3 linked regions of the Lonchura striata genome follow. The protein of the gene in region 2 binds, or shares a complex with, the protein of the main gene of each other region. Links are inferred from orthologs where the notes say so. Each region holds a gene or a part of one and is shown on either strand. Other genes may lie near its edges. The genes, in order: WDR48, WDR20 and USP46.

Evidence for each region.
Region 1: the proteins of WDR20 (region 2) and WDR48 are in contact, whole or in part, in a crystal structure (PDB 5K1C), measured with the Homo sapiens proteins. The link is inferred for Lonchura striata from reciprocal best matches to the Homo sapiens genes WDR20 and WDR48. Residues at the interface, in NP_653175.2 of Homo sapiens: Arg20, Ser364, Thr384, Glu385, Asp386, Glu524, Pro525, Leu526; in NP_065890.1 of Homo sapiens: Val191, Lys207, Gly208, Gly240, Gln241, Gln242, Arg243, Cys244, Ile245.
Region 3: the proteins of WDR20 (region 2) and USP46 are in contact, whole or in part, in a crystal structure (PDB 6JLQ), measured with the Homo sapiens proteins. The link is inferred for Lonchura striata from reciprocal best matches to the Homo sapiens genes WDR20 and USP46. Residues at the interface, in NP_653175.2 of Homo sapiens: Asn41, Ser42, Gly44, Arg151, Lys259, Tyr261, Phe262, Gly263, Glu282, Asp283, Asp284, Leu285, His301, Lys304, Ser305, Trp306, Gln374, Asp375, Thr376, Leu509, Arg516, Met517, His533, Glu534, Arg535; in NP_073743.2 of Homo sapiens: Asn205, Thr206, Ser207, Thr209, His210, Arg213, Arg273, Val275, Phe276, Pro277, Glu279, Leu280, Arg281, Phe283, Asp293, Met295, Gln338, Glu342, Tyr344, Thr347, Ser348.

The regions. Positions count from the first base shown.
Region 1 is NC_134603.1:151,959,145-151,966,162, reverse strand, and holds the start of WDR48 (WD repeat-containing protein 48), read right to left. Parts: upstream 3,060-7,018; 5' UTR 3,027-3,059; coding exon 2,979-3,026; intron 1-2,978. UniProt on the Homo sapiens protein: Regulator of deubiquitinating complexes, which acts as a strong activator of USP1, USP12 and USP46. Enhances the USP1-mediated deubiquitination of FANCD2; USP1 being almost inactive by itself.
Region 2 is NC_134608.1:11,010,750-11,018,106, forward strand, and holds the start of WDR20 (WD repeat-containing protein 20), read right to left. Parts: upstream 3,091-7,357; 5' UTR 3,048-3,090; coding exon 2,799-3,047; intron 1-2,798. UniProt on the Homo sapiens protein: Regulator of deubiquitinating complexes. Activates deubiquitinating activity of complexes containing USP12. Anchors at the base of the ubiquitin-contacting loop of USP12 and remotely modulates the catalytic center of the enzyme.
Region 3 is NC_134606.1:26,394,330-26,401,581, reverse strand, and holds the start of USP46 (ubiquitin carboxyl-terminal hydrolase 46), read left to right. Parts: upstream 1-4,160; 5' UTR 4,161-4,620; coding exon 4,621-4,656; intron 4,657-7,252. UniProt on the Homo sapiens protein: Deubiquitinating enzyme that plays a role in behavior, possibly by regulating GABA action. May act by mediating the deubiquitination of GAD1/GAD67.

The sequences.
Region 1 (7,018 bases), on a different chromosome or scaffold from region 2:
AAAGCTGCAGCACACAGCCAACAGCAGTGTCTGATACACCTCTGCATCCTCCCTCCCTCCCCAAATCAGTGTCTCACACACCTCTGCATCCTCCCTCCCTCCCCAAATCAGTGTCTGATACACCTCTGCATCCTCCCTCCCTCCCCAAATCAGTGTCTCACACACCTCTGCATCCTCCCTCCCTCCCCAAATCAGTGTCTCACACACCTCTGCATCCTCCCTCCCTCCCCAAATCAGCTTCTGACACACCCCTGCAGCCTCCCTCCCTTCCCAAATCAGTGTCTCACACACCTCTGCATCCTCCCTCCCCAAATCAGTGTCTCACACACCTCTGCATCCTCCCTCCCCAAATCAGTGTCTCACACACCTCTGCATCCTCCCTCCCCAAATCAGCGTCTGACACACCCCTGCAGCCTCCCTCCCTCCCCAAATCAGTGTCTCATACACCTCTGGATCCTCCCTCCCTCCCCAAATCAGTGTCTCATACACCTCTGCATCCTCCCTCCCTCCCCAAATCAGTGTCTCATACACCTCTGCATCCTCCCTCCCTCCCCAAATCAGTGTCTCATACACCTCTGCATCCTCCCTCCCTCCCCAAAACACTCAACCTCACTCCTGCAGCCTTCAAAAAAGCATGGCTAAGCTTCATGAACACCTGCCACTGGAAACTTGAAATGCTTTACTCCCATTTAAAGAGTTTAACTTGTTTTCTTTTTCTATGCATGGAATTTATTTTGAGGCCTAAAACTCTGATTAAACCATTAGAAACTAAAATTATATGCAGAAGCACCCTAAACTGACTATTTTGGATGGCTTTGCTTACCAGTAGAACAGGTGCATCCAAGCTAATAATAGTTCTGATTTCCATAAACTTCAACCAGCTCTCCTGCCATGTAAGGAATCAAGTTCCTCCTTGCCTAAGAGATGTCTTTTGTAAAAGCTTTTTCTTCCAGCCTCATAGGTTTGGAATAAATTTCTCTAATTCTGTCTCTCTCTCAAAAACTCTGTGCAGAAGCACCCTAAATGCTCAAGCACTGGGAATTAAAATTAATAATGAGTAGTTTTATTTTTCTATTAGCAGCTGATGGATAAAACAACCACTTAAAACTCCTTTACTTGTACAAATTCCTATTACAAACCAAGCAGGTGAAATAGTAAGAGTCAAGAAAAAAACCCTAGCTGCTAGACAAGCTTTATAAATGTTTATCATGGAATGGTTTGGGTTAGAATATGCTCTCATTCCACCCCCTGCAATGGGCAGGGACACCTTCCACTCTGCCAGGTTGCTCCCAGCCCTGTCCAAGCTGGTCTTGAACACTTCCAGGGCTGGAAAGCTTCTCTGGAAGCACAGCCAAGCTGGATGCAAACTCACAGTGCACTGCCAAGACACAGACCAGTGTTATGTATATCATGTGTCATTAGTACATGAGGTGAAAAAATACCACACAGCACAATGAGAACAGACAAAACATCATAAACCAGCACAAAACCACCTGTAAAAACAAGTTTTTGAGCTAAGCCATGCTTGGAAAAGAGAAGTAGTAGTAAAAATTGAGCTCTTTGAGGCATGCTGCTGTCAGGCAAATACTACTTCATAAATAGGAGTGCAAACAAATATCAAGGTACAATCAAATCCCCCTCCTTAGGGGTATAACCTGAGAAAACTTGTTCATAGCAGAGGCATTGTTTATATTTTAAAGCATGTCCTGTTTTTTGGGGTTTTTTTTTTCTAATAAAGCAAGGGGATTCCTTATATAGAATTGAAAGAGTGCTTCCCTTAACCACAGAAAACACTAAAAGCTCTATAAGATGCCCCTTTCTTCTGTGTGATAAATGATACGTCCAAAACCCAAACCCACCTCTGTTTTGAAAGCTCCTAATGCTACTTTTCAAGCCTAATCAATATTTCATTTGATCACACTGGATAGGTACAGCTGAAACTGGCACTTGCCACTAGGCTGCTTTAATTGATAAAGCATTAAATCTTTTCCATAATGAAAGCTGTAAAGACATCTAAAGGGCAGGCAGTATCCCAAGCAAGAAGAAAAGCATTGAGAACCATAAAACAAAACTACTGTAATGACTTTTTACACACACTTTGGTAACTCCAGTCTCAACCAAGGCTACAACAATCCACTTGTAGCTACACGTGAGCCCAAACAACCGCAGGGTTTAATTCTTCCTCAAATGTGCTGAGAAAGTCTACACCCATCTGACTGCCTGTGCCACAGGTTTCCTTCAACAAATGCTGCCTGGAGCCGGCAAGGAATAACTCTGAAATTTGAGGAAAAAAAAAAACAAAAAAACTGCTCCTCACTCACGTGTGTGAAGGGACAGAGTGTTTCGCAGAAATATGATGCAAAACAGATTATCGAATTATGGAATGGTCTGGGTTGGGAGGGACCTTGGAGATCTCCCAGTTCCAACGCCCTGCCCTGGGCAGGGACAGCTTCTTCTGGACCAGGCTGCTCAGAGCCCCGTCCAACCCGGCCCTGAAAATTTCCAAGGATGAAGCATCCACAGCTTCACTAGGAAAACTATTTCAGTGTCTCACCATGCTCGCAGTAAAGAATTTCTTCCTAATATCGAATCTAAATCTACTCTGGCACCGGACACAGCCGAGACAGGAATCTCAGCCCTGCCGCTGCTGGGAATACACCAAAGCAGGTCTGAGGGCACCGCTCTCAGCTCACCTCTCCCCGTGTGCTTCTCCGCTTTTGATCTGAGCTGCTTCAGCTCTGCAGCAGAACCCGACCCTGCTCGGCAGCGAGCAGCAGCTCATCCCCCGCGGTGCCTCAGCCACGGCGGCCAGGAGTGGCAGGGGAGACACGCCGGGGGCGTGCGGTGCTGCCTCCCCTCACCGCTGCCGCGGGAGAGCGGGGCGACTGCGCTACCATAGAAACCCCCAAGGCTTGACACCCTGCAGCCGCGAGGCTCCGGGCTCCCTTGGAGCCGTGCCGGCCCCGCCGCGCCCTCACCTGCACTTTCCGCCGCCCCGCCGTGTTCTGCCGGTGATGCGCCGCCATCTTGCATGTTGACACTGTGGCGTCATGTCCGACCGGAAGCGCCGGCCCCTCAGCCGGCCCGCGCGAGGCTTTTATACGCCAGCGGCGGCGGTGGGCGTGGCCAAGGGGCGCGGCCAATGGGGGCGCGGCCCTCGCGCCGCCCTCCCGCGCCGCCCGCCATGTTGCCGCTCATGAGGCGCCGCCTCAGCCCGGCCCCAGGGCGGGGCGGGTTTGTTCTCTTCCTCGTTCTGCTGCTCTTGTGTCCCGCACGGCCGCCGCCTGGTGCTCCTGCGGTGTCTTCGTCCTGCTTTGCTTCGTCTCGGCTGGTGGTGAAAGGCCTGTGTTGAAATAAGAAAGGATCCACTTGAATAAACCAAATCAGGGGTTTTAGCTGCCAATAATAATCAGATGGTCTTTTATCAGTAGTTCTGTATTTCATTAATAATAGCCAGAGATTCCTCTGCATCGATATTCTTGTTCATTAAGAAGTAGAGATGTTGGTTAGAGTACGGTGCTGATAACTCATATCCCCATATGGGCATTCTCTTAAAAGTTGGACTCGATCATCTTTGTGGGTGTCTTCCAACTCGTAATATTTTGTATCTGCTACTGTATCTTCTGGGTGAGGAGCTGTATGAAGCTGTATGTGAGACTCTATTTTCAGCACACCATTTCTTGGTTACTTCTTTGTGGTACATCAGTAAAGGTGCTAATAGTTAAGTCAGTGAAAAAGGAATTTTAAAACATCCCACCAAACCACATGGAACCCTTTGGAAAGGGAGGTATCACACCACAGGCATCCAGGTACTTGCACTTAAATGCATTAATTCCATATTAACATAGAGGGAAAAATTAAGGGAGAGATAAAAATGTAAGGGGTTAAGCATTAAATGATGTATTCAGGCATTCCTATTCTTCAGTGCTGGCTGCAAGGCTAAGTAGAAGATAAGGATATTTTTTACTTCTGATTTAAACTTTTTTGTTTTGATACAGGTCACTTTTTCTAGCAGTGTAGAGCTGTATGTCCTCATCGCAGTTGCAGGTGGAGTGTGTGGTTTGTGAAATGAGATCTGCCTTGGCCAAAGTCCTTCCTTCACTGCAGTGTTTCACGGAATCACGGAATGGTTTGGGTTGGAAAACACCTTAAAGCTCATCCAGAGCCATCCGCTGCCATCCCAGGTTTCTCCACTATCCCTGGTTGCTCCAAGCCCTGTCCAACCTGGCCTTGGGCACCTCCAGGGATCCAGGGGCAGCCACAGCTTCTCTGGGAAACCTGTGCCAGGACCTCCCCATCCTCACAGTGCAGAATTTATTCCTAATAACTGAACGAGAACCCAGTATTTACTGGTTAGATTAAGCAAATTTAAGACAAAGTTAATGCTGCAGTAGTAACTTCTCTCTAATTCGGCAGCAAGAGTTGCAGTTACAGACACAGCAATTCCAGAGAACCACTGCAAGCACTGGGCTCATTGTACAATGTTATGTGAATGTATTTTTGTGGCTTTTACAGCAGATTTTAGACATGATGGAGTCTAAAACAATGGGTTGTTTTACTCGAATACCTTGCTTATGCAGACATAGAATATGGTATCTCAGGAGATTTTAGTCACACAAAACATTAAAATCGTACTTTAGATCACCAAGTTTCACATCCCATAAAGCACAGCCCAAATACAGCATTTTCAAACAGTTGAATCTGAGTCATGCCCATAAATTATATATAGCCTGCAGCACTTTTGGTTTCAAGCTACGTAGAATCTGCCATGTCCTTTGGGTATTTTTTCTGTGATTATCTGATTTTAAAATGCATGTCTTTATATCTTGAACTTGTGTGTAGCTCTTAACCCAAGTAGAGAACCAATTACAGCTTTTCCTGGAGGATTAAAGACCTTTTTTAAATGCAAAATATTTTCTACTTGTATTTGTATAATTATATCTTTTGAAAATGTGTTTGGGAGTGATGTCCTAAAACAAATTAGTCAATTTATCCCAAAACAGCTTCAACTCCACTGATGTAATTCCCAGAGATATCAGTTTAGTCCCTAGTTGCAACAGATGGTGATTCCAATACCTTCATCTCCAACATATTCTACTGCTTCACTGTTCTCACTTCCAAAAATGGGTTTCCTTGTGCTTCCTCTGAATTTCCTGAGCTGCAGCCTCAGCCTGTTACTGCTTGGTTCACTCCTTGTGGACATGAAGATGAGTTTGTTCCACATTTCTTCTTAACTATTTTTTCATGCTGTTGTGTTTCCTTCCATCTTCTCTCCAGTGGACAAAATCATACTTCCCAGGCTGCAAATCATTCTTACAGTGTATTTCTAAAATCTTTTAACATTTTGGTTCTGTGACTGTCAAGCTTTGACAGAGAGAATGCAGCAGCACACAGAGGAAGCTGGGAAATTCCACAGCATTCTAGAAGTCACTGTTATTAAGGAAATATAATCTCTATACTCTTATTACTTGCTCTTCATTACAGTGTTTATTCACTCTATTCTTACATTCTGGGCATTTCCATTCTTCCTTCTCTCCCCGTTTCAACATCCTGGCTTCACTCCTGAGACCTGTTTGGTTCTCCAGCACTTCCTTTTTGGCTCAGCAGCAGTTTGCTCACTGCAATGTTCTCAGAAATTCACAATCTAGTCTAAGAAGATCAGATTTTCATGGAAATTGAAAAATAATCCCTAGACTCATATAAACATCATATTCTTTCTCTTCCAAAACCTAAAGCAAACAGCTAATATAGACAAGATCATCTTACCACTCTCCTACTAGGAAATAACACAAACATCTTGAAAGGCTGGAAGGTTTCCTGCATAACAAAGAAATCATTACCTACCATGTTTTTTTATGTAATATTGCCTTTAGTTCAGGTTTGGTAAACATACACACAAAAACCAGAAAATTATCACTATTATGATACTCATACTTTTAGCTGCCCTCAGTAAATGTGATCTTTGCTGGACCAGGCAATCTCCAGAGATCTCTTCTGACCACAATGGTTCTGTGATACAAAGGCATCATTGTGCATTTTTTTTCACCTTAAATTTAATGGTCTGACAAGTTGAACAAACACTGCATTATATACACTAGTAGCTGTCACAATATACTTAAAGTTCCTTGATGGACAAAAAAAAAAAAAAAAAAGAGAAAACCCCATTTTTAAATTGCATAGAAATGTAAAAAGCAAACTTCTCTGTCTATAAACAGTCAATTTTAAATCAAATGTACAAAAGTTGCTGACTGCTCATAAAGACACAGTATTATTCTTTCTTAAATGAATAATCTGATGGTGATTATGGATAATGAAGTGATGGCTGAGGTTTATGAATGAAATTAGTACTTCATTTGATCAAAGAATAACACAAAACTAGCATCTGTATTTCACTACCTCTGAGACAAGACAAGAAATCACTTAAGTGTATGCATGAAAATGACTGTGTTATGAGAAGAAGTAATCTGCTTCTTAATGGACTAATGTATAGTGAAATGTAGTCAGGCACTTTACTCAGTATTTACTTACAGGGAAAACTTCACTTTGCCTCATTCTTTTCCAACCCAGAATCCAATAAATCTCCATCCTGTGTGCATGACAGCATCTGAAACACCTCAGCAATTACCATTAGCCTGAAGTCAGCACACAACTCAACTGAAAAAAACATGCCTTCATTTTATATTTGAAAAAAAAAACCAATAAATACATTTCAGATTTGTCTTAGGAGAGATATTAAATCATAATCTTCCCACTGCTCTGAAAAAAATGCTTCCCAGTGTGAGTAACAATCAGGTTCATGACACCTGAATGTACATAAGTCTATGGGGCATGATGAGATACATCCCAAAGCCTGAGGTATTTGTCTGCTGTAGTTGCCAAGCCTCTCTCTAAGTATTTGAAAAATTCTGGCAGTCAGGTGAAGCCCCAGGTAACTGGGAAAAGGGAAACATTTTTGCCCATCTTTAAAGAGGGTAGAAAGGAGGCTGCTGGAACTCCCACCCCGTCAGCCTTCCCTCTG
Region 2 (7,357 bases):
CACACACATCAGCAGTTCATGTAAAAAGGTGACTTACAAACCAGATATAGCAGACACAAAGCATTTAAGGGAAACTAAAAGAAGAAAAATTAGCATTATTGATGTCACGAAATAGCCTTCCAAGTGGTATCTGTGACTCAATATTAGGTTATTTATTTTTCAGTGTCATTCGTGGCTTAAGTGTTGCTCTTCCTTAATGTGTACTGATCTGCAATGGATTACTGATGCAAGAATTATCTCAGTACCAAACAGACACAGCCACTTAAAATACAGTCCTCGTGGTTCTTTTGCTCATTTTAGGAAAAATGTAACATTTTCCTATCAAGAAAAGAGGTCTTAAAATAATCTTAAAAAAAAAAAGGAAAAAACAAGAAAAAAAAAAGACAAAATCACAGTTGATATATTCACACAGCACAGCGTCATTAAATTCAACTCAATATTCCAATATGACTTAGTCAGAATGAAAATCACGATCTTAAAAGTAATCAGGGAAAATTTTTAAGGAATACATAAATAATTATGAACTAACAGGTAAAACTGAAGTTATCAGCACCTGTATTACGCCAAGGAGCACAAATAGCTGGGTTTTAAACAGATCAAATCCCTTTCCCCATCCTCATCCCAGGAACAGGAAGGAACACAAAATGTGATAGTCTGCCCAGTTTAAGGCAGAATTACATCGTGTCCATTTAAGTAACAATAGCTCTCTCCCTTTTATGACAGCCACAAGATAGAACTTTTGATTCTGAAAAGTTCACACGATCAGTTGACAGGCTGTCAGCCTGTTCCTGATTCACTTTCATACACAGACAAAACAGTTACTTCCAACTGAAGTTCCAAAATAAATTCCAAAGCAGCAAGTATTGCAGATTTAAATCAGACCATCTTCTCATTCTCATTTAAAGCATTTTCCTTAAAGTGAGTCAATCTATTTCAGCTCTTTCTTTAGGTTCACTTTACCAAAGTATTATACATATAGAATATACAGTATTGTTTTACATAGTTAATACTGTAAAAGGTCATTGAGATTAATTCTGTCCTAACAATGTCTATGTTTCACTCTATTCAGAGAAAAAAGTATTTCACACTGTCACAGGTACAGATGCCTCCAGAGCTCATGAGTTCACAAACTCAAATTTCTCAGTTACTGCATACCATACCAGTAGCTTTTAGCATCTAAAAAATCTAAATACCAAATATCTAAATACCCAGTTCAAGAAGACTTTTGTAATTTGATATAACTATAATTATTCTATTCCTTATTGTCAACTAAGTTCCAGCCTTTAGATTTTTATTTGTCAGAAGTGTGGCAAGAGATGACTAAGAGAACTTGCAAGAATCACATGTACCATTACTAAACTACATAAAGGCCTGCTCTGTGAGCTCAGAGAACTCTGCAGCTACTTTGCATGGAAAAAACAAACAGCAGGACCCAAACATGGCAACAATTTAGGATGTAGATTTTCAGAGATACTGCTCCTCAGGATACCTTGTAAAGACAGCAACTGGTTGTAAGTAGGGAATACTGTTTGATACTAAATACTCCTTGTATCCTTAAAGAAGCCATTGTCCAAGCATTATTTGAAACATACCTAGATTATTAAAATTCATTAAAAGGTGAAACTAAATACACACACACACTTTCACATATAATTATACAAGACATATCAGATCTGTTAGGTCACAGTCTAACAAACAACCATGTAGACTTTAAACTCCTGCTGCTGCCGACATTTTATAGAAAGGAGGAGTGCTGGGGGCACTCCCCTAGGACACAGCAGATTCAGGTATAATCCCTTGCTCATCCACGAGCTTCCTGCACAGCCTCGTGTGAGTCTCTAGCTCTCCGTGCCCTCATCCCATGCTGAATGGTGAGCTAAAAGCAGGAAGATTTCAAGGCGATCACATGATGGCAACTGAGACCCAAGCATGTAAAATAACGAACACCCACTATCTGAGACAAAGCAGAAAACTGACATTCATTATATATGTGTTTATATCTATTAGGAGTGACGTGGGTTCACCTAGCACAGCAAATTCCGAATTGTTCTCTCAATCCTGTTTGAGAGAAGGGTTTGTTCATAAATATGGTGACCTGAGAGATCAAATGCATGCACTGTACTGCATCCAATAATGACAAGCAAGAAGTGTCTCTCTCAAGTACATCAATCTTTTTATCCTGCAAAAGCAACTTTCTCTCTGTCAATTATCTGATATTTAAGACTCATCTCACTACACCACTCCCATTTAGGAATAATTCTAAAACCAACCCACACTTCTAAGTCATAACAAAGGCCTAAAACTGCACCGAATGCTTCAGACGTGCAGCCAAAGCTAGGAAGAGCCTGGAAGCAGGGATTTGACACCACCATAATCACGACAGGCATTAGCGTGTCCAGCAAATTCTGACCTGAAGCAGCAGGTGACGGAGGCCGAGGGAGGGAAAGCCAACCCTGATTCCCGCACGAGGAGCGCCCAAGCGATCGCATCCCTGCACAGGGCCCACACACACGGCTCCCGTCGGTGACACCGTATGTGGAGCAGCCCCGAGCACCGGCCCGCCGCCGATGCCCTCACACCGCCCTCGCCGCAGGCCCGCTCTCCCCCGCCCAGCCGCCAGCTGGCTGAGCGGAGCTCGGCCGGAGCCGAGGAGCCGCCGGCCCCGCGGGGAGTGGGGACAGCGAGCGAGGCGCAGCCCGGCCCCGCGCCCCCGCCCCCGGCGCGGCCCGCACCCCGGCGGGCGGGCGGCGCGGAGCCCCGCCGCTCCCCGCCCCAGCCCGGCGGGGGAGCCCCGGTACCTTGCGGACCCCCTTGTAGATGTAGAAGTAGAGCTCCCGGCCCACATTGAAGCAGAGCCGGTCCCCGTTGCCGCTCTGGTCGTTGACGTTGACGAAGGAGACGCGGACGGGGTTGGAGCCCTGCGAGTTGAAGGGCACGCGGTTAGGCCGGCTGTACTCCGAGTGGCTCAGCAGCTTGTACAGCCCCTCCCGGGTGGTGAACTGGGTCTTAATCTCGTTCATCTCCTTCCCACCTCCCTCCGCCGCCATCTTGGAAAGGAGCGCTCATCCTGCCCCAGTGCCCGGATGTGCCGACACTGCGCAGCCGCCGGCGCGCGCGCGGCCCCTGCGCGCGGGGGCGACGCGAGGAGGCGGGGCCGGCGGGGCCTGTTTACCGCGCGACTGCGCGCGCGCCGGGCCCGCGCGCCGGGGGCGGGGAAAGGGGCGGGGGCTGTGAGTGGGCGGGGCCTCGGGCGGGAGCGGCGGCGTGCCCGAGGGGCCCGGCGGGGGACACCGCGCACAGCCCCCTGCACAGCCTTCCTGCACAGCCCCCTGCACAGCCTTCCTGCCCCAGCCCCCTGCACAGCCCCCTGCACAGCCTTCCTGCCCCAGCCCCCTGCACAGCCCCCTGCACAGCCTTCCTGCCCCAGCCCCCTGCACAGCCTTCCTGCCCCAGCCCCCTGCACAGCCCCTGCCCCAGCCCCCCTGCACAGCCCCCTGCACAGCCCCCCTGCACAGCCCCCTGCACAGCCTTCCTGCCCCAGCCCCCTGCACAGCCTTCCTGCCCCAGCCCCCTGCACAGCCCCCCTGCCCCAGCCTCCCTGCACAGCCCCCTGCACAGCCCTCCTGCACAGCCTTCCTGCCCCAGCCCCCTGCACAGCCCCCTGCACAGCCCCCTGCACAGCCCTCCTGCACAGCCTTCCTGCTCCAGCCTCCCTGCACAGCCCCCTGCACAGCCCCCCTGCACAGCCCCCCTGCACAGCCCCCCTGCACAGCCTTCCTGCCCCAGCCCCCTGCACAGCCCCCTGCACAGCCTCCCTGCACAGCCCCCTGCACAGCCTTCCTGCCCCAGCCCCCTGCACAGCCCTCCTGCCCCAGCCCCCTGCACAGCCCCCTGCACAGCCCTCCTGCCCCAGCCTCCCTGCACAGCCCCCCTGCACAGCCCCCTGCACAGCCCCCCTGCCCCAGCCCCCTGCACAGCCCCCTGCACAGCCTCCCTGCACAGCCCTCCTGCACAGCCTTCCTGCCCCAGCCCCCTGCACAGCCCTCCTGCACAGCCCCTGCACAGCCCCCCTGCCCCAGCCTCCCTGCACAGCCTCCCTGCACAGCCTCCCTGCACAGCCCCCCTGCCCCAGCCTCCCTGCACAGCCTTCCTGCCCCAGCCTCCCTGCACAGCCTCCCTGCACAGCCTCCCTGCACAGCCCTCCTGCACAGCCCCTGCACAGCCCCCCTGCCCCAGCCCCCTGCCCCAGCCCCCCTGCACAGCCTTCCTGCCCCAGCCCCCTGCACAGCCTTCCTGCACAGCCTTCCTGCCCCAGCCCCCTGCACAGCCTCCCTGCACAGCCCCCTGCACAGCCCCCTGCACAGCCTTCCTGCCCCAGCCTCCCTGCACAGCCCCCTGCACAGCCCCCTGCACAGCCTTCCTGCCCCAGCCTCCCTGCACAGCCCCCTGCACAGCCTTCCTGCCCCAGCCCCCTGCACAGCCCCCCTGCACAGCCTTCCTGCCCCAGCCTTCCTGCCCCAGCCTTCCTGCCCCAGCCCCCTGCCTCAGCCCCCCCCACAGTCATCCCGCAGAGTAGGGCTGTGTCCGGAGCGCTCCTGGACATCTCCAGTGGGTGGGACTCCACACCCTCTCAGGGCAACCTGTTCCAGAGTGTGCACAGTAAAGAAGTTCTTCCCTATGTTCATGTGGAGCTCCTGTGCATCAGTTTCTGCCCGTGGCACCACCGAGAAGAACCTGGTTCCATCCTCTGACACCCCTCCTTTAGATATTTATACACATTGATGAGGTCCCCTCTCAGCTTTTCTCAACACGGGATAGGCCCAGCTCCGTCAGCCATTCTTCCTAAAAGAGATGCTCCAGTCCTTTAATCATTTCTGTAGCTCTCCACTGGGCCCAGTCCAGGAGCAACAGGTCTCTCTTGTGCAGCAGAGCCCAAAACCGGACACAGCACTGCAGATGTTGTCTCAGCAGCATTACCCAGCATGGTGGCTCCACAGGGCAGCTGCTCTGGGGGATGGGAGAGAGGGGGAGGAGGAGGTCACCTAAGGATGTGGGCATCTGTGCCAGCACAGCGTGGGGTGAGGTGATCCCCGCTGCTGGAAGTGCCAGATCAGAGCCAGGAGGTGTCCATGTGCAGCAGTGGTTTTGGGGCAATGGCTCCCAGGTGAGAGCTCCCATTCACACACAGCTCTGGACATCTCTGTTGGCTCGTTTGGGCCAGCTTTGCCCACAGGGTACTTGGCAGTGCCTGGAAGCCTGGTGAGTCTTGCTGTGAGAGTCTGAGAGTTTAGGGACAGCAAATCCAGGTGTGCAGCTGTATTTTGGCACTTCATGCCAAGCTCGGGGTGCCCCTGATGGAGATGGCACCTCCATCCCTCCAGCTCTGCACCAGGCTCCAACCTGCTGCAGGCAGAGCCAGGCCTGGGAGTTGGCCTGAGGTGTGAACCTGAAAAACTGGTTATCAAATCTCTCACCTCATTGTTCTGATCATCCTGCAGCCATACTGCCAGCTGTGTTGCATGGTGAACCAGATCAATATCAGATGGAGGTGGCACAGGGTTGGTGGGAAGGATTGTATTCACTGGGCAAGGAGGTAGGACTGTTTCTTCTGACAGCAGTTTTGGCTTTAAGAGTTTGTCTGACAACAGCCTCATGACTGATTCAAACTGATCTAAGACTGATCTCCAGCTGGAAAAAAAGGTTTTGGCCCCTCCTCTACGGGTATTTCCATTACCTGCCTTGCATCAGTTCTAGTAATCATGCAACCAAAGGGTGAGTCAGATCCACCTGAAAGTTAACACACACACACAGAAATTATGAGTTCTCAGGTAAGCAAAGTGTTGACCAGCAACCAGTTTGATTCAACTCACCCAAAGAACTGCTGGAGCCAAAATAAGGAAGGAGTAGTGTGCAACCAGGGGAAGATAAGCAGCAAAGAACTAGAACATTTTATGTTAGCAATAAAAAAACACACTTTCAAGGTATAGTTTCCTGCTGTAGCTGTGTGGCTCTAATGTGACTGCTACCAAAGGCATTGTCCTGCTCTTTTCTTTCTGGACTACATCTATCTGCTGCTACTCCTTCCTGTACCAGCCACAGTGCCCTCCTGACCTTATGAGGAGCCATTTCTAAAAGGTAAATGGATAGACAACTAAACTCCTTGCAAATGTTAAAAACACTGTCTGCTTAAGGCAATGGACAGCAGGACCTTCCTTCTTTCCATTACATCAGCTCAGCTGAAGAGGTCCACTCAGTCTTCCAGACTGCACGGGGTTAAAGGGATTTAGTTTCAAGTCAATTTAGTTCAAAGAGATTTTGTTTGTAGCTGAATACTGTCTTGCTGCTGACCATCAAAATATTAGTAAAAGTTAGCTGAGACCTGAAACAGCCAAGGATCTCCAGAACAGAGTATGTATCTGAGTGAATATCTGAACAAGTACAGATGATTAGACTTCTAAAAGGCTAGGTATTAAAGACTTGCTTGAAATTCTTAAGATAAACCAAATCAATAATGACCAATAGATCTTGTCAGCTTATCAGCCAGTCCTGCCAGATGGTATTGATGACCTCCTAAAAGCACATAAAGTAGGTAAGCAGCCCTGCATGTTTTTAAAAATCATGTTAAAAGTGATTGTTTCATAAAGAAATTTCATTAATGGAGTTCCAGAGAGAAAGAATATTTTCTTTCCCCAAAGAATTGCCAAAGAAGAGCAGGAACAGCAAGGATCTCTAAGTAGTAATACTCAAAACAGATAAAGATGTAACAACAACAACAAAATTAAAAAAAAAAATGTTGCTCCAAGCAGGCATACTCAGTATGTCATCCATTACCCACTGACAACACAGGATAGATCACTCTGCAGAAGAAAGCAGGCAACTTTGGTAGAGGGACTGTGTGGAATGCAAATTGTACTGAAACCACAACAGGCCATCTGTCACTGATGGAATGAGTGTGATCCAAAGAATAAACAAAGTTAACAAGTACCTGGTTATCAGCAGTACATGATGGTGTAGAAAGTCAAAGAATTGATGTAGTGTTTTACATTTACAAGAAACATCAATAAAAGCTGCTGAGAGGTTCCACGGAGAATCCAAGACAAATATTCATTTGAAAAACACAGCTGCGAGTCACAAGAACACTATTGTACAACCCATCAACAATGCTCATCAAATACTAGGAGAAAAAGAGATTACAGAGATAAGTCTTATGAAAAAAAAATTCCTGTATCACTTGAAAATTCTTCTGTTTCAAGCTAACCAAAGATGATAGTTCTGAAATGATCCCAGGAGGACACCCCAAATGAGGTGTTTTGTATGCGCCACACAACCAATAAACTGAAGTCAGTCCCAATCACTG
Region 3 (7,252 bases), on a different chromosome or scaffold from region 2:
GTGTATTTGAAACTCAAGCAGAAGGAAAACGGCAGGAGAAAGATATATATAATGAGATAATCACAGCTCCGGGCCATTATCAACATTGGACTGGCTGCAGAGGCTTTAGCAGCTTCTTCATAGGATAGAATTTAATGGCTTGCACTAGAGAACTCTTAGACCCTTTGTATCTACTCAGTCAGCTTTTGGTACCTTGACATCAATGTACTTGCCTCTGTCTTATTCTGCTCTCTTTGGGCTTTCAGATCTGGTGTCTGGCCAAGAAAAGATGATGTCAGATGTAAATGTGTTTTGTTTTCTTCTGTAGGGTAGTAATTTCTGAGAAAAATTAAGTGATGATATTCTCTACTTGCCAACTAGTAAAAAAATAGCAAAAGGTAAGCAAGATTTGGGGATCAATTTAATGCAGTTTTATTTCCATACTTTATCTTTAGAATGCTGACAAGTCATACTGTCACCAAAACATGAAGTTTTACAGTATTTTGAATCAAGGAATAATTTCTCAGATAATTTGAAAATGCTGGGTAGGTGTTGCTTTGAAGATGACAGTCTTAAAGAAGAATAGTGATTCTAAAGTTGGGTTGATTTTTTGGTTTTAGACTCTCCACATTGTCTATGGATTTCCATGAATTGTTCATGGACTACAACTCTTACCATTCGAATTTCAGGTGCAGATGGAGTGGTTTCCATGGACCTGCTATGAGCCATGTGCCACAGATTCAATCCATAGGCTGCAAGCTGGTGTTTGGCATTGTTCTAAAGCCACCAGTCTGTTCTGAAATGAGGCCAAGCTTCATGGAAGAGCCTGATTTCTCATTCTTGTGTCTACATATTTTCCATTTTGTTCAAGATATTTTGCTATTTTTTGGTAGAACATCATTTAATATTAGATACAAAACATTTTAAAAATTGTAAAATTCTAAACCTACATTGTCAGCACTGCAAGTATTTCAGATCTCTGAATTCTCTTATAATTCTTATATATTTTCCATGCTTCAAGAAAACTTTTTTCCAACTTGTAATTGGTTGGAAATATATCCTGAATTTGATCTATTCCAAATATTTGTTCAGCAAAACCGACTGATGATTACCTACTTCTGGGCCCAAGTTTATTACAAGAAAAACATAAATGAACCTTTTGTGGAATTTTACAAGATTTCTGGAAAGGAAATGCAGTATCGTCTTTGTAGCACAGAATGAACAGATATTCTAGTCTCAGATTTGCTACCAACTTTCCTGTGTTAACTTTGGGCAAGTCACTAAATTTCCGCTGGCAATTTTCTTGCTTTGTAAAAGAACCTAATATTAATTTGCCACCAAATAATTTAACAACTCTGAGTGAGTGCCTGCAAAATACTCTTGCAAAAAAGTCTGATGGAAAATGTTATGGAAATCCACGCCTCTGTTAGCCAAGGAGGATATCTACAATAGGTCCATATTTTATGTAGTGAAATCGAAATGTTCAAGTGTAAAACCAGATGAGACCAAGATGGATCTAAAATTAAATGCAGGAGGTATTTTTTGACCTTTCAACAGAAATTATATAAGCACTTTTAGGTTATAAATAGTCCTTTGTTTTCCTTGTCTTTGTCTAACACTCAGAAGAAACACAGGGTTGGTTGTTTGTTGTAAGGAGATAGGGCAATGCTTCAGAGTGGAAACAATTGTGCACTGTTCTTTATTTATACAATTCTTATAAAGTTTGTAACTAATATCTGTTGCATTGCTTAGCACTTTTTTATCTTCAAAAAGCTACAGGAATAAAGTTTCTATTCCTGAAAATGACAACAGCAGAAGAAAACAAACACAGATACCAGTCCATTTCTAGCATGAAAGTTTCTTTCTTCTTTCCTGTTTTGATATGTCTGAAGATTGAAAAAGACAGTGCTAGACTATTATCAAACTGAAACATAATTTCCTGTATATTATTCCCTATTTTTATTATTTATCTTCAGAAACAAGGCATGAAATATGTTCACCTTTAAATGAAAGTATTTATATTATCATTAAGGAATATGATACTGAATTCTTTATAGAATGATATGTGTGCATGTTTACAAACATTCCCTTGAACAACTAATAAGTGCTTAATCAGTAGCAATTTAGTTTTGTGTCAAAAATTCTTTAAAAATCAGAAACAACTGAAAATTAAAGTCAAAAAAAGTCAAGTAATTGGCATTTGAGAAAAACAGAAGTATGAAAATACCACTTTTTTCTTTTTTGTTTTCACACTTTCTATGATTTCTCTGGAGTTTGTATTATGGAAATAATGTTATTGACATTAAAATATATGTGAGGCAAATGGCTTTATTAGATACTGCATTTTGTTTCATTTAAATTTTTAATCACCTTTCAAACCCATTTGTTTGTTCCATAACTTTTTACTGATAGCAACTATGATTCTCCACAGTAAATTGGAATAAGTAGGCTGCAGAAAACAATACATGATTAGGCTTGTGTAATAACAGGCATCAGTTTAAAAAACAGGGACGGTGCAGTACTGTCCACTCTCTGCAGGCTACTTAGAAATGTGCTGGAAACCAATCAGACCTTGATTGCTTCAGTCCTGACATGTCGGCTTAACTCCCATTTTCCCTGGTTATGTTGAGAAAACCTGTCATATTATGTGTAATCCAGTTCTCTGAGTTTAAGCAAATTAAATACTTGGGATCAAATTCACACGTAATGTAAGACCATGAACTTAATAGAATTATACCAAAGATAATTTTTTCCCCATGTTATTTAATGGCCCTTTTGAATAGTGATTTGTGGATTAATGAAGCAGTTTAGTGGCCCTGAGGACTTCATTCACTCCGTTAGGTACAAAAATCTTTCTCCATCCTGTATGTTGAATGTCTGCAATGATTTAATATAACTAATCCAGTTTAAGGAAGAAAGAAAATTCTGTCTCTGTGACAACTTGATTTTGAGTTTCTTTGCTGAAGCTGTCAGCAGGATACCAACTAATGCCAAATTTGATACCATTTTTATAAAGTGGGCATTTGTCTACAGTGAGCTGGATTAAGGCCACTTATCTAACAGTATTCTCAGGGTAGGAATTTATCTTTAGATGTTACTGCTGATGCCAGATTTTTATTCCTAATCATAGATCTTTATTTGAAATGATAATTAAAAAACAAAACAAAACAAAACAAAACAAAACAAAACCAACAAACCTGACTTCAGAATGTTTCCAGTAAATAAAGCCTGTGGATGCAGGCTCTACATGCTGCAATTATTTTATTCTAGCATCATGAACTGAAAGGCGTAGCCAAGCATGAGCATGCCACGCTTGAGGTGCTGTTAGGAGCAGAGGTGTCTGTAGAAATGTTAATAGTTCTCTCTTCATTTGAATGATTTCCTCAGCATAGCAGAGGAACAATAAACGGGCCTTAAGCTCCTGCTGAACAAAAAGCAATATCTGCTAAGGAAAGGCGAATTCTAAGATGAGGATTTCCCTAGCTGAACTCTGTTCTTGCTTCCCTCAGAGATTTGCTATGTGACCTCAAGTTAGCTATTTAACAACCTTGTGCCTATTACCACGTGTGTAAATTTAATATACTTACACTGCTCTGCCTTGGAGAAAGGCACGGGCCTCAACTTGCTTGTGTTTGAAGAGAAACTGAGATTATTACATTTGCCGTGTTGTATAAATGGTACATGTCGTGAATTTGTGAGTGAGCACTTGCACACGTGGTGTGGACACAGTCACAAAACAGCATTTGTGAAGATAAATGTTATCTGCATGAATGGCAATGCAAAGCACCAACTGAGGGCAGTAAATTACATTCCAGCCTACTGTTCTGGATTTCGCAAGTACCTGGGCTCCTCTGTACCTCCTAACCAGGTGGGGTGAGCACGTCCCAAAGCACAGTGCCGCCGTCCTCCTGCCCGCACTCTGCCTTCCTGTCCTTCACCCTGCCTGCCGGTATGGCTGCATACGCACTGAGGCCGGGTTTCTCAGCCCCATGGCTGTTCCCGGCCCGGCGATTAAAGCACCCCGGCCCCTGCCGGACGGCCCGTGCGGAGGAGCGGCGGGCGCAGCTCCCCGCGCCCCGCAGCGCATTGGCTGCGGCGGTGGCCGCCCCGCCGAGCCCGCCGGGTGCCCCGTGCCGGGCGCTGCCTCTGACCTTCCCTTCCCTTCGCTTCCCTTCCCCTCCCCGGCGCTGTCAGAGCGGATCAGCGGGCGCGGCGCTGCGATGGAGCGGCGAGCGGCAACGGCGGCCGCCGGGAGAGGAGGAAGAGGAGGAGGAGGAGGAAGGGAGAGATTAGCGCGGTGCCGGCTGGCGCAGAGGCGCGGCTGAGCGCTCCAGCGGGAGCCCGGGGCCCTGCGGACCGTGCGAGAGGCAAAGGCGGAAGAAGCGGAGATGCGGCCGCTCTCCCCGCGCTGCTGAAGCTCCCGGTCACTCGCCCGGAGGAGGGAGGCCGGGAAGGTCCGTCCTTCTCGCTGCTCTGCGGGCGCAAAGGGTGCCTGTGCAGTCCCCTCCTCTTGCTTTTATCCCAGCCCCGGAGCAGGAGCCGCCGCCGCCCCCTATCCCTTCCTGCGCTCTTCCCACCATGAGCGGGGCTGTTTTCACCTTATAAAGATGGCGGTGTGGGATCGCTGCAACCTTTAGACTCATGACTGTCAGAAACATCGCCTCCATCTGTAATATGGTGAGTGCTGGCGGGGGGCGGGCGGCACGGCAGCCCCTGCGGGGGCTGGCTGGGGGGCTGCCCCGGGGGCGCAGCCCAACCGCGCGACTCCATCCCTTGCCCCGGGCAGGCTGCGCCGGGAAGTGCCTGGGATGGAGTTGGCCGAGGAGAGTGCGATGTCCCGAGGAGTTTTCCTGGAGCAGCCCGGGCGTGGGCCCGGGAGGCACGGAGATGCAGAATCAGTGCGAGGCCCCACGGAGCGGGTCTGACCCCGGCCGAGGCGCGCCCTTCCTCCGCCTGCCCTTCCTCTTGCCCTAATACTGCTAAAGGACCAAAGTTGGGTTCTGAATCCGCATTAAATCAATGACCCTGTTTAACCCTCTCAGGCAGGCACTCTGTGGTCTCCTAGGGCCGGGAGCTCCTCAGATTACATAGAAAACGAGGATGTTTAGATGCCGAATAACACCTAGGTGCCTGTTCTAGAAGTCTTGGCTTTAGAGCTAACAGGGTTTAACTTGCACTATATGCTGCTCGAAGAGAACTGGTGTTTGTAAAGTACTCTTGAATCACTTGGCTTTCTCAAAACCACTCAGGCAATTAGGAAGGAATAAGGAAACGTTTATATTTTTGTTTACTATGTTCACTTTGCTACTTTTCTCCCCATGGAACAGTTGAAACTATGTTTTCTGCATTGTGTTTGGGTTTAATTTAAATTTTAACAAACTAGGAGCACTTAATTTGATTTAGGTTTTTGAAACTTCTTGGCAGGAGGAAAAGCTCAAACTATGTCAAAGACTTTTTAATACAGTGAGACTGTAGCAAACTTGCCAAATAAATGGTTGCATGCTAAGCATCCCAATGCAAACAGAAGAGAATCATATTTTTGTTAATTTTCATTTTTTAGTCTGTATTTTTCACCCTTATTTCCAGGTTCTTCAAGAGCAGCTACACACAGTTGCCAGCTTGCCTCCATGTGGTGCCCCAGCATGCCTTGTGCTGCTGATGCCACACATACCATTGATCTGCCCTGGAGAATGGAGCCTGTCTCTAGGGTAAGGCAATGGGCACAACCCCAGAGGCCTGGCTCCTGCGGGGTCTGAGTGAGGGAGTGCAAATTGCAAGCCTGCTCCCCTTCCACGTGTCCACACTTCCACTTAAGTGGGATTGCTTTTTGGTTGCAAATGAGATGCCTGGGAAATCCTATGCATAGGTTTGATTTGAACCTCAGCCCTCCCTTTGAAATACATGGTTTGAAATGCAGGGAGGGTGTGTTGATTCTGGGCTTAAAAGAATTAATATAAAATCCAGATTTGAGGTATAATAACCTGGATGCTCACCTTTCTTCACCAACAGTAACAAGTTTTCTGAACTCTTCATTGTTCTTAATGATTTCCAGTCCAGTGAGCAACAAATACTGCAAAAAGAGGTTCAGGAAATGGTACAGGACTGCGGAGAAAACCTAGGTGCACTTACCTTCTCTCTGAGACAGGCTTCAGTTTTTACTCATTAATGGTGGATGTAATGCCTTGCAAACTGTATAAAAGAACACTGCATGAAGGGGAGCTGGAGACTCATAGGTGGATGTAATACCTTGGCATAAAGTGCTAGGAACTCTGACTTTTTCATGTGCTTCAGGCAGTGCACTTGTACGCAGCACACTTCTCCCAAAGACTGAACAGATTCACAGCAGAACTGATGAGGTTGTTGCAGTGGTGTGCTGCAAATGTAGCATCTGAGAGATGGAGAGACCGAAGGGAAGAAGGAGAGCCCCAAGCAGAAAAGGCATACAAGGATTCGTACTTTAAGGCAATTCTAGCTCATGGTACTGTGACAGAAGGTGCAGTCGATGTAATATTAATGATATTTTAAGGCTACATATTCCTTGAGGTCTGTGTACTTAGCTTTTAGAGATGCCATGTTGTGTTGGTCACATTTAGCTTCTTCTGGATAACCCTCAGGGACTGGAAGTTCTTTTAGGTATAAACAATGGAGTTTTAGACAGCTACAGGAATTTGGGGCTGTAAGAGAAATACAAATTCTTGCAAGTGTTGACAATATTGTATTATGGCTCCTCCAAAAATGTGTCCACTCTGATGAGGTGATGGACTTGAACCAATGATCTGTAGAAGGAGCTGTGACAACCTTCCAGAGGGCTAGAGGTATAAAAGTAAACCTTTGCTTTTTTAAAACCTAAATATTTGCAGCTCTAGTTTGATTTAGGACATCTGTAGAAATCTATCTAGAAAGATGCTGAGATGCTGATTCTCAGACCTTGCTCCTGCACTATAATATAGTGCTTGAAAACTGAGCTACTGACAAGTTGTGGACTAAGAAATAGCTGTGTAGTTCTTAGGTAATATATAATGTTACATAATAGTAGGTTTCTAAGTTTGTTAACCTGGCTAAACTCAGTAATTAAAAAAGGGGTTCTGGTCTTTATTTTTTCCCATTCCACTTTAGAGTGTTCACAGAGGGTTTTTCAGTTTTTGAAAAAAAAAAGCCCCCAGAATTCAAACAATTATGTCTGGTTGATTTTTAGGGGTGGCATGGAGAGTAGAGGAAGAGAGACAGGCAGCAATTGGTGCTGAAATACTTGTCCTTCCCTGAATGCAGCTTA